Linked DNA regions of Macaca fascicularis. The protein of the gene in region 2 purifies or fractionates together with the protein of the main gene of each other region. This does not show direct contact. Links are inferred from orthologs where the notes say so. Each region holds a gene or a part of one and is shown on either strand. Other genes may lie near its edges.

Region 1 (5,794 bases), on a different chromosome or scaffold from region 2:
CTGTCAAAAAAGAAAAATAAATAAAAAGAAGAAGAAGAAGGAAAGATCTGTGATATCCACAGAGTACCTTACAAATGAAAAGAAAATGGTGATATGTTACTGCTTTTTCTCTAATTAGAAGAGGATTGCATAGTGAAAATGTTATATAGATGAAGCATGAAACAGCTGTTGGCACATTAAACCATCTTTTTATAGTATAGTTATTACAAAATTCTGTAAGGAAGAAGCTTGAGGATAGTTATCATATCATAGTGAGTTGAGACCTGACTCAGCCCTTTAACAATTTAGCTTTTTTGCAAGATTGAAAGCAGAGTGTGAGGTTCAGGAGCCTATTTATTTACTAAAATTGTTATCCATCCTGGAGAAACTTTGCTAAAGTATTCGTTCATTCTGGTGGAAGGATGAAATGTAGACTATTAAAGCAATTTAAGTTGTCTCTTGCTGAAACGTTGTGAGGTTTTAGGAAGAATGGCTTAAGTGAATGGGTATTGAATTTAATTTTCCTGATACTGTGATAATAAAAAATACTTTTAGTCCAGTTGTTTGCCCTTTGGCTATTAACCAACAAGGTGATTAAGTGAGACTTTATGCAGTTCAGATGATGTCCTTTGGAACCACTTCATGTGGTTTCAGCTAACTAGTTTCATTTCTTGGAGGCGGATGATGCTGGCAGTTTCCCCCTTAATTTTGCATAAAAGGTATATAGTTCCTTAATTACAGACAAATTTCAAAAAGATGAGAGGATAAATCTTTGAGGAAATCACTTTCCTCTCTTTATTCAGATGCCATGAGGGGTTTTTTAAGTTGCTTGGCAGCTTTCTAGATGAACATTCACTTGTCTGTTTTTAAAACATTCCCTCTTTTTCTGGCCTGAAAAGTATGCAAACATGAATTCACTTTGTTTTATCTGTCTCATATGTGTGTATATGTGTGTGTGTGTAACTACATATTTCCTAGAGAATTCTATTTTTGTCTTTTTTCTTTTTCTTTTGTTTTGTTTGAGCCAGAGTTTTGCTCTTGTTGCTCAGGCTAGAGTGCAATGTGCAGTCTTGGCTCACTGCAACCTCTGCCTCCTGGGTTCAAGTGATTCTCCTGCCTCACCCTCCCGAGTAGCTGGGATTACAGGTACCTGCCACCAGACCCAGCTAATATTTGTATTTTTAGTAGAGACTGGGGGTTTCACCATGTTGGCCAGGCTGGTCTCAAACTCCTGACCTCAGGTGATCCACCCGCCTCAGCTGCCCAAAGTGCTGGGATTACAGGTGTGAGCCATTGCGCCCAGCTGAGAATTCTATTTTAATGAAATTATTTTATATAATTTCCCAGCCCAACACTAGTCCATGATATTTTAGGGCAATAAAATTTGTTTCTTACATTGTAATTTATCCTAATGCTACACTAAAGAAATTCTTAACAGGAAATTAGGTGGTCTAAATGGGGTCTAAAGAGACAGACTTATAAAAATACTCTAAACAGCAATGGTAAACAACTATGGTGCTGAAACTTGTTTCCTTCCTAGTTCCAAACCATTTTAGAAACTGCAAGAGTGACCTTTATTTCCTTCTCTGTAGCACACACGACTATAATTTCCCATGACTATTTATGGTCTGGACAGCCCTTCTCTAACTTCCTTTTTTTTTTTAATGTCAACGGAATACGTGTTTCTTTAATGGAAAATGTTCTATTTTGGGGAAGCTGCTTTTCCTCAGATAAGTAATGGAGTTGGTGTTTGTGTGTTGAAGGGGTTATATGAGATTGAAGAGTTTTAAATTAGTGGACTGAGAGCTTGGAGTGACAGTCCTGGTGAGGACTCCTAATAGCCTTTTTTTTTCGTATCCAAGATTAAAAATAACTGTGCTTGGTATTTTGTATTATTTTTAAGGATGATTTTCTTCTTCTTCTTCTTTTTTTTAAGAAATGGCAGAATAGTCCTGAATTGAATGGTGAAAATTTCAAACCAAAGTGATTGAAGTGAGGGAATAGTGTGGCTCATCAACAGGGTTGATCTGGGGGCCAGAGAGAGGCATGGGAGATTTGACCCTTCTAACTCTTGTAGGCAGGTCCTATGTACTGAGCACTGTCTCTTTCCCACCTGCTGCAGCTGCACAGTTGGACATTCGTCATGAATCAGGAGGGTCATCTCTGACTCCTGAGTGTGACACAGTCCGTCCCTTTGGAGTGATTTGGAACCTGATCACAGCAAGGATTTGTTGCCATTCCCCAGCTTTGCATTGTGCGTTTAACTACATTTCACAATCACCGTGAAAGATTTTTTATTTATTGTTTTTGACGATTTGTTATCTTAGTTATAAAACCATTCTTTATGCTTTATCCACTTTTCACTCTAGCATCTGGAAACTGTGGCAGCACGTATATTGTTTGTTTTAATGTGAAATTTATTTAAGTACAATATAAGTACAGAAAAGTGGCCAGATCATAAGTGTAGCACTTGATGCATCATCTCAAAGTGAACACACTTGTGTAACCAGCATCTGGACTAAGAAACAGAATATTACAATATTTGAAACGTTACACGCCCTCTCCTGGATACTGCCTCCTTTCCCTCCCTTCCTAAGAACATTACAATATTTGAAACCTTACACGCCCTCTCCTGGATGCTTCCTCCTTTCCCTCCCTGCCTAAGAACATTACAATATTCGAAATGTTACACGCCCTGTCCTGGATGCTGCCTCCTTTCCCTCCCTACCTAAGAACATTATGATATTTGAAACGTTACACGCCATCTCCTGGATACTGCCTCCTTTCCCTCCCCACCTAAGAGTTACTGCCATCCTGACTTCTGTTACTACAGAGTAATTTTGCCTGACTTTGAACTTTATGTAGTTATGGGATCATACAGTGGGTCTCCTCTTTTATCTGGCTTCTTTTGGTCATTATATGTTTGTGAGATTCATCCTGTTGATACATGCTGTTTTAGTTCTTTATTCTCATTGCTACATCATATTATGTTGTTTTAAGACAGAGCAAATTATCTCCTGCACTTGTGAAAGTCAGTAAAATGTGCATTGGACCTTATACTGAAGAGGACTCAAGTCACTATGTGATTTAGTTGTATTGTGATCTAATACCTGTTTTATTACTATAAGAACCATTTATTTATTCACCTAATTTTTATAGAGGCAGGATCTTACTTTGTTGCCCAGGCTGGTCTCAAACTCCTGGCATCCTCCTGCTTTAGCAAGAACTTTTGATTACAAAATAGGAAATTGTTTTTCTCTTCCTTAAGTCAGAATATTAACTTTACCATATCACTTTCTCTTCCACTCCCCGCCAACTATAGAAATAATTGCCTTCCTCTTAACTTTGTGCTTCCATAAAACTTGATTGTATCTCTGTATTTAATACATATAGATAGCTATTGTGTTCATCATAGTTAATGGATCACAGATACAAATACTTGCTAACTGAACTTCTTGAAGCCAGGGCTTGTCTTTTCAATTCATGTTTCTAATCCCAGCTTCTAATATGCCTGGTATCAAAGCTTCTAGGTTTCTTGAGGAGTTTTGTGACTTTTCAATAGCGTTTTGTTACATTTTGTCATTGTAGCCTGAGATTCCTGAACGCATCTGCGAACAAACTGGAAAGCCTTCCTCCAGCCACGCTTTCTGAAGAGACAAACAGTATCTTACAAGAGTTGTATTTGACAAATAACAGCCTCACAGACAAATGTGTGCCCTTGTTAACGGGACACCCACATTTGAAGATCCTTCACATGGCCTATAACCGACTTCAGAGTTTTCCAGCCAGGTAAAGGAGAATCGTAAAGCTGTGTTCTGAATTGGGTTTCTCAAAGTGTATTCATAGAAAGATGAAAGCTGAAATATTTATTTCCCAGGTGATATCAAGTTTGTTTCCTTGTTCCTGCTCCATTCACAGTTTCCTTTATATAAGCTGTGATGACATTTCCCTGAAGAGAAGTAGATTGGTTTTCCTCATACGTGTCCAAAGACCTAATCACAAGAATGTTCTTAAGATTTTGAAATAAAATGTGTTGTTTAGCAGGTATGTTTTTTCTTTTACTTCTTTTTAACCAGTCAGATTAATTTTTTAAAAAACTATTATCCTAGAGCCAGGTGTGGCGGTGCGTGCCTGTAGTCCCAGCTACTCAGGAGGCTGAGGTGGGAGGGTCACTTGAGCTCAAGAATTCGAGACTAGCCTGGGCAACATAGTGACACCCTATCTATTAAAAAATAAAGTAAATAATAAAGTTTCCAAAAACATTAACCTAATAGGGTATGTGGGAATTAGAATGTAAACCAGGAACCTGAAAATCCTTCATTATCTACCAACTTTTATATTCATACTTATGATGTACAGAGCAGTGGTAGACTCTACTACCATAGAAACTGTAACATTGCAAATTATGGCTCAAAAGAGTCCATTTTTAATTTGTTTTTACTTTAATTTCTAATTTTGGGGGAGCGGTGACATTATATCTAGCTTTGAGTGAATCTATGTGCTGAGCCTGCCATGAGGATTTACCCTGTTTCCATTTCATTGGCTTTTATCCATCTAACAAGTTAGGGCTTGAAACACACACCCACGCATCAAAGAAGCAAACACTAACCCTTCTGGTATTCTGCTTGTGGTAACTGTAACTCAGCACTGGGGCTAGACCAAAACACTATCATAGCCTCCCTCTGCTGCCTTCAGGGCTACCACTCTATTCAAGCCCTTGCTAAGAAGGAAGGCCCAAGTATGTGTTGACTTAAAGTATTGCTCTGTTTTTGGCGTAATGAAATACTTACTTTCCTCCTCATTTGACATTAATGATTAAAATATTTTATGCTTACTTCCATCTACTTTTACTTCACTATGGAATGGGGAAATTATATTTTTGGAAAAAACCATGATAATCACATAACAGCAACCTATCTGAAAGGGCTCATTGTCTTCTTTCAGATGATGAATGTCTAAACCCTGCAGAGGAAAGGATCATCAGCTCTAATTCTGAGGATATACCCCCAGTGACCCATGCCAGGTGTAATCACCCACGCTGAGTGGAGAGAAACTTTTAACACACCTTGTAAAAAATCCATCTAGGAATGAATTCTGTCTCCCTGTGGTTGTGATGTGGCTCAGTAGCTCCCCTGCAAACCAGAGCACCTTAAGAGCTGGGTCTGTGACCTTGCTGTTTCCCTCAGCCTCACATTTCACACAAGGCCCACACTTAAATGGTTGCTGAATTAAAGAACGTGACCACCATCTAGTCATTTTGTCTTCACATCTTTTGCCACCTTCTTTTTATGTTGTGAGTTGGAAATTTCTTTAACTTTTTCTTCTGGGGGCCTGTTTTCTGTGCTTTTAATCATTTTTCATGCACCATTACCCATTAGTTTCAAGGCACAGGGCTGGCATCTGCTTCTGGTGAGTCTTCAGGAAGCTTACAATCATGGCAGAAGGTGAAGGGGAGCCATTGTGTCACATGGTGAGAGAGAGGGCAAAAGAGATGCCAGGGTCTTGTGTGAATGCACAGCATGTGAATTCAGTTATTACCATGGGAAGGGCATCAAACCATTCATGTGGTATCTGCTCCCATGACCTGAACACCCCCTACTAGGCCCCACTTCTAACATTGGGAATCAAATTTCTTTTTTTTTTTGAGACGGAGTCTCGCTCTGTCGCCCAGGCTGGAGTGCAGTGGCACAATCTTGGCTCACTGCAAGCCCTGCCTCCCGGGTTCACGCCATTCTTCTGCCTCAGCCTCCCGAGTAGCTGGGACTACAGGCGCCCGCCACCTCGCCCGGCTAGTTTTTTGTATTTTTTAGTAGAG
Region 2 (6,349 bases):
ATAAGACAACTCCATTCACAATAGCATTCAAAATGATTTAAATAAGTAGGAATCAATTTAACAAAAAAAGAGAAAGACATATAAAAGAGAAAAACATTTCAGAGTTTCAAAACTCTGAAAACTACAAAATATTACTAAAAGAAATTATAGGAAATTTAAACAACAGAAAAAAAATACCATGTTCACAGACTGGAAGACTTTAACACTTAAAATGGCAATACTCCACAAACTGATCTACAGGCTCAGTGAGATCCCCATCAGAATCCCAGCTACTTTTATGGAAACTGACAAGCTGATTCTAAATTCATATGGAGGTCGGACCCAGTGGCTCACCTGTGTAATGATCACTTAAGTCCAGGAGTACGAGATGCAATGAGCTATGATTGCAATCATGACAGTGTGGTACTGGCAGAGAGGCAAACATACAAATCAATGAAATAAAATTGAGGATCCAGAAACTCATACATCTATGGTCAAATGATTTTCAACAAGGGTGCCAACTCCAAACGACAGAGAAAGAATAGTCTTTTTAACAACTGGCGCTGGGACAAATGGACAGTCACATACAAAAGAATGAAGTTACCTTTACCTCAAACCATGTACAAAAAACTAACTCCAAATAGATCAAAGAAGTATATGAACAGCAACACCCAGAAAACTCTTAAAAGAAAAACATTGGATTTGGCAAAGGATTGACATGGGATTTGGCAAAGGATTATAAAATATGAATATGACACCGAAAGCATGAACAACAAAAGAAAAAACTCAGGCCAGACGTTGTGGCTCACACCTGTAATCCCAGCTCTTTGGGAGGTCGAGGTGGGCAGATCATTTGAGGCCAAGAGTTCAAGACCACCCTGGACAACATGGCGAAACCCCATCTCTACTAAAAATACAAAAAAATCAGCTGGACATGGTGGCACGCAACTGTAATCCCAGCTACTCGGGAGTCTGAGGCACAACTGTTTGAACACAGGAAGTGGAGGTGGCCGTGAGCCAATATCCAGTGACACAGTAAGACTCTGCCTCCAAAAAAAAAAGGAAAAGAGAAAAAAAAATTAGATAAATTAGACTTCATCAAAATCAAAATTAAATTTTGTGCTTCAAATGGCACCCTCAAGAAAATGAAAAGACAACCCATAGAATGGGAGGAAATATTAGCAAATGACATAACTAACAAGAAACTTGTATCCAGAATATATAACGAACTCTTACACCAAGGCCAGGCAGGGTGGCTAATGCCTGTAATTCCAGTGCTTTGGGAGGACTAGGCAAGAGGATCCCAAGGGCCAGGAGTTCAAGACCAGCCTGGGCAAAACATAGCAAGAACCCATCTCTACGAAAAGTAAAAAATTAGCCAGGTATAGGGGTATGCACCTGTACTCCTAGCTACTCCGGAAGCTGAGGTGGGAGGATGACTTGAGAACTGGAGTGGCAAGGGATGATCATGTCACTACACTCCAGCCTGAGTAACACAGCAAGATCCTGTCTTGAAAAAACAAAAACAAAACAACAACAAAAAAAACTCTTACAACAATTAAAAGACAACTCAAAGAACAGCCAAAGAATGCAAATAGATATTTTTCCACAGAAGATACACAAATCGCCAATAAGTACATAAAGAGGTGCTCAACATCATTATTCATCAGGGAAATGCAAATCAAAACCACAATGAGATGAGATACCACCTCACACCCAAAATGGAATGGCTACAATCAGAAAGTCAGATAACAAGTACCAATGGGGATGCAGAGAAATGGGAACAGCCATACACTGTTGGCAGGAACATAAAATGGTGCATCTTTGGAAAACAATCTGGCAGATCCTCAAAAGATTAAATGGCAATTCCACTCCAAAGTACAGACACATGGGAAAACAAAACATATGTGCATAAAAAGCTTGCACCCCCAATGTTTACATTAGTATTATTCAAAATAGCCATAAGGTAGAAATGGCCAAAATGTCCATTAATGAACAAATAAACAAATGTAGTATATCCACACAATGGAACAGTATTTGTCCATTAAAAGCCATGATGAGGATGTCATCGAGCCTGTAGATCAGTTTGTGGAGTATTACCATTTTAAGTGTTAAAGTCTTCCAGTCTGTGAACATGGTATTTTTTTTCTGTGTTTAGATTTCCTTTAATTTCTTTTAGCAATATTTTGTAGTTTTCAGAGTTTTTACTAATACATATCACAACATAAACGAACCTTGAAAACAGTGCCAAAAACCATATACTCTATGATTCCATATACTAAAGTCCAAAGCAGAAAATTATATAAACACATAAAGTCAATCAGTGGTTGGTTTGCCTAGGGCTGGAAGGGGGAGGGAAAGAAAAGGAGGAGGAGAGAGATGATAGCTAAAGGGTATAAAGTATCTTTCAGGTGATTAAAACTGACTGTGGTGATAAATGCAAAACTCTATCAATATACTAAAAGCCACTAAATTGTACACTTTAAATGGATGACTAGTATGGTATGTGAATTATATCTCAATAAAGCTGTTTTATGAAAAAAGAGTTTGTGCCAGGTGCGGCGGCTCACGCCTGTATTCCCAGCACTTTGGGAGGCTGAGGCAGGCGGATCGCCAGGTTAGGAGACTGAGACCATCCTGGCTAACACGGTGAAACCCCGTCTCTACTAAAAATACAAAAAATTGGCCAGGGCATGGTGGCGGTCGCCTGTAGTCCCAGCTACTCAGGAGGCTGAGGCAGGAGAATAGTGTGAACCCAGGAGGCAGAGCTTACAATGAGCCAAGATCACACCACTGCACTCCAGCCTGGGTGACAGAGCAAGACTCCGTCTCAACTTGGAGTCTCTTTTGATGAATTGTTTATATCTGACATTTAAAGCTCAGTGTCCTGGCCAGGCGTGGTGGCTCACACCTATAATGCCAGCACTCTGAGAGGCTGAGGCAGGCTGATCACCTGAGGTCAGGAGTTCGAGACTAGCCTGGCCAACATGGTGAAACCCTCTTTCTACTAAAAAATACAAAAATTAGCCAGGTGTGGTGGCAGGCACCTGTAATCTCAGCTACTTGGGAGGCTGAGGCAGGAGCGTCACCCGAACCCAGGAGGCAGAGGTTGCAGTGAGCCAAGATCATGCCACTGCACCCCAGCCTGGGCAACAGAATGAGACTCTGTCTCAGAAAAAAATAAGTAAATAAATAAAGCTTAAGGTCCAAAACTCAAATTCACTTTTAACATCTTCAATATAAATTTTGTTTTTAAGATAAAACATATATACATATGCATACAAAAACATAGTAATGAAATAGAAATATTTTCCAGTTTCAAGTACTATGAAATCTAGTAACAATAAACTCCAAAAATGGGAATGGCAAGAGTGGATATGTCACTTCTGTAACAATAAAAAGCTGTGCTATAATCCATTAATCGGTACATTAGAGTTACAGATCCTGCTAGTACTTGAGAATGAAATGTTCAACCTTTCCCCTTCCACAAATCACCCTCATGGAGCTCATACACCCACTTTTCTGATACTGTTCTGTTGGATGTGCATGTAAGGCTCATTTCCCCAAAAAGACGTATCTTCCTTAAGAGTAAGAATCACTCATACTTAATAGTTAACCCAGCACAGCCCATACACCAATATTCACTCATTATTCTTTTCTGTCTCCTTACCATGTCTCTTTTCTTAGCCTCTCTTGCTCTGTTGGTTTTCTTCAGACTTACAAGCAAAATGAGAAAAACGAAGTCCCTAGAAGTCCAGGTTCTATGTTTCATCCTATTTCTCGTAAGTTTACTGAGGTATCAAATCTAATTATGGCAGTCGTTTAATAAACTTCAAAACAAAAATATTTTGAGATCTGGCAATCCTCAAATTAGAGCTTCTTCTGATACTATCTTTAACCATTAAAAATCTATTTCACTCTACTAAAATTCTACTAATATCACCCACAGAAATTTCCACATCTTTCCACTTTGCCTAAGAAAATGTCACAGTTGCCCTTTTCTGCCCTTTCTTTCTTAGGAAGCACACAGCCTAAGGCCTTCTCTCCAAACCTCCAAGATTATCTTTTAATGAAGCCCAACCATCATTTAAATTACTATACTGTAAATATAAAAGGTTCTGATCTAATCTTAAAATCCTAAAATACATTTTACATATGCTCTGTTGAGCAAGGCCATGTAGTACAGCTTTTATTCATTTCATCCATTTTCATAACCTCTCATGCTACCAAGCCTATATTTACTCATCAAAAGTTGTAAAAGTATTGGTAGCTAATTTTCCTGAATGTTCCACTGCATCTTTACTTTTCTCCTGCTGAGATTGGTAGTGTGCTAACAGTACCTGAAGTAAAAATTCTTTTACTTCCAAAACTAGAACAGATAACCACCTCTTAATGTTCACTTAGTACAAAAGGTATATGTTTACAAACCCACTCAACTTCTTCCCAATCTTTCACCACAACCCAAAATGCATTAAAGGCATATCTCGAATTGATTTTCACCTCTAATATATTTTTTAAAGCTAAAAAAAATGTGCATATTGTGGTAGTAGAAAAATAACTGCCTCCCTCAAAACGTCCACATCCTAATCCCCAGAACCTGTGAATTCAAGTTGCAGAAGGAATTAAGGTTGCTAAAATCAAACGACCTTGAGAGATTATCCCAGATTACCCAGGTCAGCCCTATGTAATCACACGGGTCTTGTAAGTGAAAGAGGGAAGCAGGACAGTCCCTGTCTGAGGGAGGTAATGAAAGAAAGACTGGCCAGTCATGGCTGGCTTTGAAGATGCTGCAGGGGCCAGGATCCAAAAGGCAAGGGCCGCGTCCAGGTGGCAAAGGCAAAGCAGCAGTCCCTCCTGCAGCTCCAGGAAAGAACACAGTCCAGCCAAGACCTTGGTCTCAGCCCAGCCAGACCCACACAACCTTTTTTTTTTCTTTTAAACAGAGTCTCGCTCTGTCGCCCAGGCTGGAGTGCAATGGCGCAATCATGGCTCATTGCAACCTCCACCTCCCAGGTTCAAGCAATTCTCCTGCCTCAGGCTCCCAAGTACCTGGGACAATAGGCACAGGCCACCATGCCCAGCTAATTCTCTGTATTTTTAGTAGAGATGGGGTTTCACCATGTTGGCCAGGATGCCCTCGATCTTCTGACCTTGTGATCCACCCGCCTCGGCCTCCCAAAGTGCTGGGACTACAGGCGTGAGCCACTGCGTCCGGCAACCTCCACAACTTTAGAATAATAAATTTGTGTGATTTTAAGCCACTAAACTTATGGTGATATGTTACAGCCTCATTGGAAACTAATGCACACACAAATTGGTCCATTTTAAACATTATAAATAGAAAAACAAATAGAAATAAATGCACTCTAATATCCCTAAAATCTGAAAATTAAAGTAACTGTATCTGGTTAGTTCATCTAATTTTCAGAATCCTGTGCTTAAGAATTTGAAGTTGCTTTTTTTAAAGCATAGCAGCAGTAAATATATAACCCTGAGGTGGAACATATTAAAAAATGGAAAACAAAAGAAAAACTACTTAGTTAAGTTTTAGTGTATAATCAGCTAAATCTTATTAATTATAGTTCAGATGCAAAAATGTGTTAGAACTTCATGTACTCATTCACTTGTAATATCACAAAATTAAGTCTAGGTGTGGAAAAGGTTCAACTTAATCTGTAAACTTTAGCCTGCCTAAATGTATGATTTTGGGAATACAACTATGAAAATATTCTGAAAATGTAAAAAGTTTATTTCTGTGTAGCTTCAAATACAACAAAGAATAGATGTACATTCTCTTTCAATGTTTTTAAAAATATTTCTTAAAAAAACCTATAGAAGCAGTTAAAACTATATTCTGAAGCCCTAATGAAACACTGGATCTACGCAATGATTATCAACAGTTGCTAAAAATCATTAGGTAAAAAGCTGCCAGCAGCTCCATAACAGAAGAGTCGTTCTGACAATGCCAGCCTCATCATTATAAAGAGACACCACATTCCCCTGCAACCCGGAAGTACACATCACCTATGTTTTTCCACCACCACTTGTACACCAACTTCTGCAAGGAAAATAAAAAATAAAAAAAATAAAAGATCAAGGAATCTGGATCAGGCCTCTTGATCTACCAAATTACAGAAAACATACAGGATGGAAGAACACGTTAAACATCACAAAGGGGATGCAATCAGCAAAGTGCAGAAAATGAAAAAAAGCTATGGGACAATCTGATTTCCTCAAAAGATAAACTGTAATAAAAAAGAAAGAGGGATCCACATTTAAGAGATATAGTGACAAAACATAACGAACATTATGGATCCAACCACGATCATTTGAGACAATCAGCTAATTTCAACAATGATTGGATATTTAT
Region 3 (5,406 bases), on a different chromosome or scaffold from region 2:
ACTCCATCTGTGATTTAGGTCCCCTTCCCGTCTGTGGTTGCCCCCTCTTTCCCAATCCACCTACTCACCTCCCCACTTCCCTCTGGGTTCTAACCCTGCTTCCTCTTAGTGGTTTCCCCCAACCTCAACATCCTTTTCCTTCCCCTCAGTGGCATACACCATTAACTCCTTTTCTCCCACCCCTCAAGTCCATTGACCTCAACAAGCCAATTGACAAGCGGATCTACAAGGGCACCCAGCCCACCTGCCACGATTTCAACCAGTTCACTGCTGCCACCGAGACCATCTCCCTGCTGGTGGGCTTCTCAGCGGGTCAGGTGCAGTACCTCGATCTCATCAAAAAGGACACCAGCAAGCTGTTCAATGAGGAGGTGATTGCAGCCCCCAGAACCCCCAACTGCTCTGCCTTCTCACCTACCCACTATATGCCATTAGGTTTCAGCTGCCTGGGGACCAGTGTAGGCCTGAGAGGGGCAGGACCAGGGAGAGATGAGAATGGGGTGACAGCAGCTAATGACAGCTGCACTGTACCCAGGCCCTATGCTGTGTTACCCCTGTGCTGAATACTTTACTCCTTGAGTTTTATTTATTTATTTATTTATTTTATTTATTTTTTTGAGACGGAGTCTCACTCTGTCGCCCAGGCTGGAGTGCAGTGGCGTGATCTCCGCTCACTGCAAGCTCCGCCTCCTGGGTTCATGCCATTCTCCTGCCTCAGCCTCCCAAGTAGCTGGGACTACAGGCGCCCACCACCACGGCCAGCTAATTTTTTGTATTTTTAATAGAGACGGGGTTTCACCGTGTTAGCCAGGATGGTCTCAGTCTCCTGACCTCGTGATCCGCCTGCCTCGGCCTCCCAAAGTGCTGTTGTTACAGGCGTGAGCCACCATACCCGGTTTTTTTTTTTTTAATTGTAATTGTAATTGTTATTGTTTTTAATTTTTTTTCCTTTTTGAGGCAGAATCTTGCTCTGTCACCCAGGCTGGAGCACATTGGTACAATCTCTGCTCACTGCAACCTCTGCCTCCCCAGTTCAAGCAATTCCCCTGCCTCAGCCTCCTGAGTAGCTGGAATTATAGGTGCCCACCATCATACCTAGCTAATTTTTGTATTTTTGGTAGAGACTGGGTTTCATCATGTTAGCCAGACTGGTCTCAAACACCTGACCTCGTGATCCACCTGCCTCGCCCTCCGAAAGTGCTGGGATTACAGGCGTGAGCCACCGCGCCTGGCCACTCCTTGAGTTTTCATCAACCAGTGGATGCAGAAGTGTGCTGCCCATTTTGCAGATTAGAGAATTGAGGCTAGTAAATAAGTTGGGACTTAGTTGATACCCTTGCTCTTTGAGTTCTGGGCTTTGGAGGCTTTGGATTCAAAACCCTGCTGCACCACTTACTCACCGTGTGACTTTGGGAAGGTGACCATTCTCTGAGCCTCACTTCTCCTTCTCTGCAAAATGGGATTCCAGTTCCTACCTTGCAGAACCGCTGTTGTAGAATCATACATGGAGATTGCTCAGTCCTGGGCCAACTTGGCCTACGAGGAGATACCAGTAAACGACCTTATCCGCGGGCAGGGACTGCTCTTGGCTTCTGTCTCATTCTCTCTGGTCCAGAGGAGGTGTTCCATAAATATTCTCAGAATGAGTGAATGGCTGAAGGGAGTGAACGGAATAGTGAGTGGATTAAAAATTCATTAGCTCATCCATTCACAAATAGTTTTTGAGCATCCGTTCTGTGCCAGGCACCGTTCCCAGCAGTAGGGATATCACATCTCAGGGCCCTGGACAGGAGGCCCTGCCCTTTTGGAGCTTTCAGTCTAGCTGGGGAGATGGACAGTTAATCAAGTTAAGTCTTCATGTGTCAGCAGGTGATTAAGGCCTGTTTAGAAGAAACAGTGGGGAAGGAGCTGAGGGAAGCTTGAAGAGTCTAATAGGGTGGTCAGGAAAGCCCTCACTAAGAGGTGATATTGAAATAAAGACCTGAAGGAGGCAGGTGAGAAGAGTTGCCTGGGGAAGGGCATCTTTTTTTTTTTTTTTTTTCCTTTCAAGATAGGGTCTCACTCTGTCGTCCATGCTGAAGTGCAGTGATACGATCTTGGTTCACTGCAACCTCTGCCTCCCAGGCTCAAGCAATCCTCCCATGTCAGCCTCCTGAGTAGCGGGGACTACAGGCAAGCACCACCACAATTGGCTTGTATTTTTCATAGAGATGGGATCTCTTTGTGTTGCCCAGACTAGTCTCGAACTCCTGGGCTCAAGCGATTCTCCTGCCTTGGCCTCCCAAAGTGCTGGGATTATAGGGCTGGGCCACCACACCCAGCCAAGAAGGACATTCTGAGTAGTGGGACCAGCTAGGACAAATGCAGGATAGCACAGAAGTCGTGTGGCCAGAGCAGTTACTGAGGGAGAGAGGATGGTAGATGAGTTCCAGGAAATAACAGAGGGGCCGGCTCATGGGGAGTCTGGAAGGCGGTGGAGAGACTTTGCCTTACTCTTAGTTGGAAACCTGTGGAGGAGCCTTTCTCATCGGGGCTCAGCTGAGCCCTGGAAGGCAGAAGTGACTGGAGTGATTATTTGCTCAGTTCTCCCAAGGATGGGAGGCCTCTCATCCTGGGAGAGCAGCTCCTTAGTTGCATATGCTGACTGCCTGAGGGCATTAGGGCCCTGGGCTCTGGAACCCTGCTTGAGAGAGGCTGCTAAGCGTTCAGAGCAGGACAGTGCCAGGTGCTGACTGATACTTAACAGAGCATTGCTGTGGCTGCTGCAGAGGACAGACAGGCCCAGGCAGTGGAGCCTGAGGCCAGTCACACAACATTGCAGGCTTGGGGTGGCTGGATGGGATGGTGAGAGGAGGTCAGATTCTGGGTGTAGTTTTTCTTTTTCTTTTGAGATGGAGTCTCGCTCTGTTGCCTAGGCTGGAGTACAGTGGCATGGTCTCCGCTCACTGCAACCTGCGCCTCCCGGGTTCAAGCAATTCTCCTGCCTCAGCCTCCTGAGTAGCTGGAACTACAGGCGCCCACCACCATGCCTGGCTAATTTTTGTATTTTTAGTAGAGATAGGGTTTCACCATATTGGCTAGGCTGGTCTGGAACTCCTGACTTTGTGATCCGCCCGCCTTGCCCTCCCAAAGTGCTGGAAGTACAGGCGTGAGCCACCGTGCCGGCCGATTCGGGGTGTATTTTGAAGGTTGAGCCCACAGGATTTGTGGAAGGATTGGATGTGAGGAAAAGGGCAGGTGCTGAGGTTTTTTGTCTTAAGCACCTAGCAGGATGGCGGGTTGTCACTCATTTGTCCAGGAATTACCTTCAGGCCGCCTCCTGTGTGCACTGCTTTAAAGAACAGCGAACCAAACAAAGATCCCTTCCTTTGGGGAGCTGGCTTTCTGTGAAGAAATTTCCTGCTTAAAGCCTGACATAGTAAAGATTGGGGGAGGGTTAGGTAGATAGAGCAGAGGTCCCCAACCTTTTTGGCACCAGGGACCGGCTTAGGGAAGACAGTCTTTCCACGAACTGCTGGGGGGATGGTTTTGGGATGAAACCGTTCCACCTCTGATCATCAGGTGTTAGATTCTAGTAAGGAGCGCACACCTAGCTCCCTCGCATGCGCAGTTCATGGTGGGGTTTGCGCTCCTATGAGGATCAAATGGTGCGCTGCTCCAGTAGGAGGCCGGGCTCAGGCTGTAATGCCTGCTTGCTCACCGCTCACCTTCTGCTGCATGGCCCGGTTCCTAACAGGCCACAGACCACTACTGTTCCATGGCCCAGAGGTTGAGGACCCTGAGATACAGGACAATTCTATGGCAAGCAGGACTGTCCCCTCACCAAAGATGACACATTGAGGCTCCTTGGAGCAGCCCCTGTTCCCCCATGTCTTCATGACCCAGTATCCATCTGTCTTCCCCAGTTTGGGAGCTTCTCGTCGAGGAGGACCTGGGCCTGGTGTGGCATCTGCTGTGTGGGCGGGGCCGTGTCCAATGGCCTTGGGGACTTCAGGTTGGGGAGAAGGTCTGCCTGAGTTTTACTGCCTTCTCCCAACCCCACCCTGTCTCCCCTGGCAGCGGCTGATCGACAAGACCAAGGTGACGTATCTGAAGTGGCTGCCTGAGTCGGAGAGCCTGTTCCTGGCATCACACGCCAGTGGCCACCTGTACCTATACAACGTCAGCCACCCGTGCGCCTCGGCCCCACCCCAGTACAGCCTGCTGAAGCAGGGCGAGGGCTTCTCTGTCTATGCGGCCAAGAGCAAGGCGCCCCGCAACCCACTGGCCAAGTGGGCGGTGGGCGAGGGGCCCCTCAACGAGTTCGCCTTCTCGCCTGATGGCCGGCACCTGGCCTGTGTGAGCCAGGATGGCTGCCTGCGCGTCTTCCATTTCGACTCCATGCTCCTGCGCGGGCTCATGAAGAGCTACTTTGGGGGCCTGCTGTGTGTGTGCTGGAGCCCCGACGGCCGTTACGTGGTGACGGGTGGTGAAGATGACCTGGTCACCGTGTGGTCCTTCACTGAGGGCCGCGTGGTGGCTCGAGGCCACGGCCACAAGTCCTGGGTCAACGCTGTGGCCTTCGACCCCTACACCACACGGGCAGAGGAGGCGGCGACAGCAGCCGGTGCTGACGGGGAGCGGAGTGGCGAGGAGGAGGAGGAGGAGCCCGAGGCTGCGGGCACAGGCTCGGCCGGGGGTGCCCCGCTCTCTCCACTGCCCAAGGCTGGCTCCATCACTTACCGCTTTGGCTCGGCGGGCCAGGACACGCAGTTCTGTCTGTGGGACCTCACTGAAGATGTGCTCTACCCGCACCCGCCCCTGGCCCGCACGCGCACCCTCCCTGGCACTCCTGGCACCACGCCACCGGCCGCCAGCAGCTCCAGGGGTGGCGAGCCTGGCCCGGGCCCACTGCCTCGCTCGCTGTCCCGCTCCAACAGCCTCCCGCACCCGGCGGGCGGGGGCAAGGCAGGCGGCCCGGGCGTGGCAGCAGAGCCTGGCACACCATTCAGCATCGGCCGCTTCGCCACGCTCACATTGCAGGAGCGGCGGGACCGGGGGGCCGAGAAGGAGCACAAGCGCTACCACAGCCTGGGCAACATCAGCCGGGGTGGCAGCGGTGGCGGCGGCAGTGGGGAGAAGCCCAGCGGCCCTATTCCCCGCAGCCGCCTGGACCCCGCCAAGGTGCTGGGCACCGCACTGTGCCCACGCATCCATGAGGTGCCCCTGCTGGAGCCCCTCGTGTGCAAGAAGATCGCGCAGGAGCGGCTCACAGTCCTCCTGTTTCTGGAGGACTGCATCATCACTGCCTGCCAGGAGGGCCTCATCTGCACCTGGGCCCGGCCGGGCAAGGCGGTGAGTGGCTCCATGCCAGCCTGCCGGGGACCTGGCAGGACCCTTGGTGGGAAGAAGCAGTCATTGGCAGAG

Evidence for each region. The genes of interacting proteins can lie anywhere in the genome.
Region 1: the proteins of USP12 (region 2) and PHLPP1 purify together in Homo sapiens (affinity purification with mass spectrometry; 4 studies listed by BioGRID and IntAct, with this or other methods). This does not show direct contact. The link is inferred for Macaca fascicularis from reciprocal best matches to the Homo sapiens genes USP12 and PHLPP1.
Region 3: the proteins of USP12 (region 2) and DMWD purify together in Homo sapiens (affinity purification with mass spectrometry; 3 studies listed by BioGRID and IntAct, with this or other methods). This does not show direct contact. The link is inferred for Macaca fascicularis from reciprocal best matches to the Homo sapiens genes USP12 and DMWD.

What each region holds. Positions count from the first base shown.
Region 1 is NC_088392.1:17,895,739-17,901,532, reverse strand, and holds part of PHLPP1 (PH domain leucine-rich repeat-containing protein phosphatase 1), read left to right. Parts: intron 1-3,567; coding exon 3,568-3,768; intron 3,769-5,794. UniProt on the Homo sapiens protein: Protein phosphatase involved in regulation of Akt and PKC signaling.
Region 2 is NC_088391.1:7,177,622-7,183,970, forward strand, and holds the start of USP12 (ubiquitin carboxyl-terminal hydrolase 12), read right to left. Parts: upstream 3,880-6,349; 5' UTR 3,752-3,879; coding exon 3,650-3,751; intron 1-3,649. UniProt on the Homo sapiens protein: Deubiquitinating enzyme that plays various roles in the regulation of the immune response and inflammation.
Region 3 is NC_088393.1:53,867,038-53,872,443, reverse strand, and holds part of DMWD (dystrophia myotonica WD repeat-containing protein), read left to right. Parts: intron 1-188; coding exon 189-371; intron 372-4,059; coding exon 4,060-5,334; intron 5,335-5,406. UniProt on the Homo sapiens protein: Regulator of the deubiquitinating USP12/DMWD/WDR48 complex. Functions as a cofactor that promotes USP12 enzymatic activity.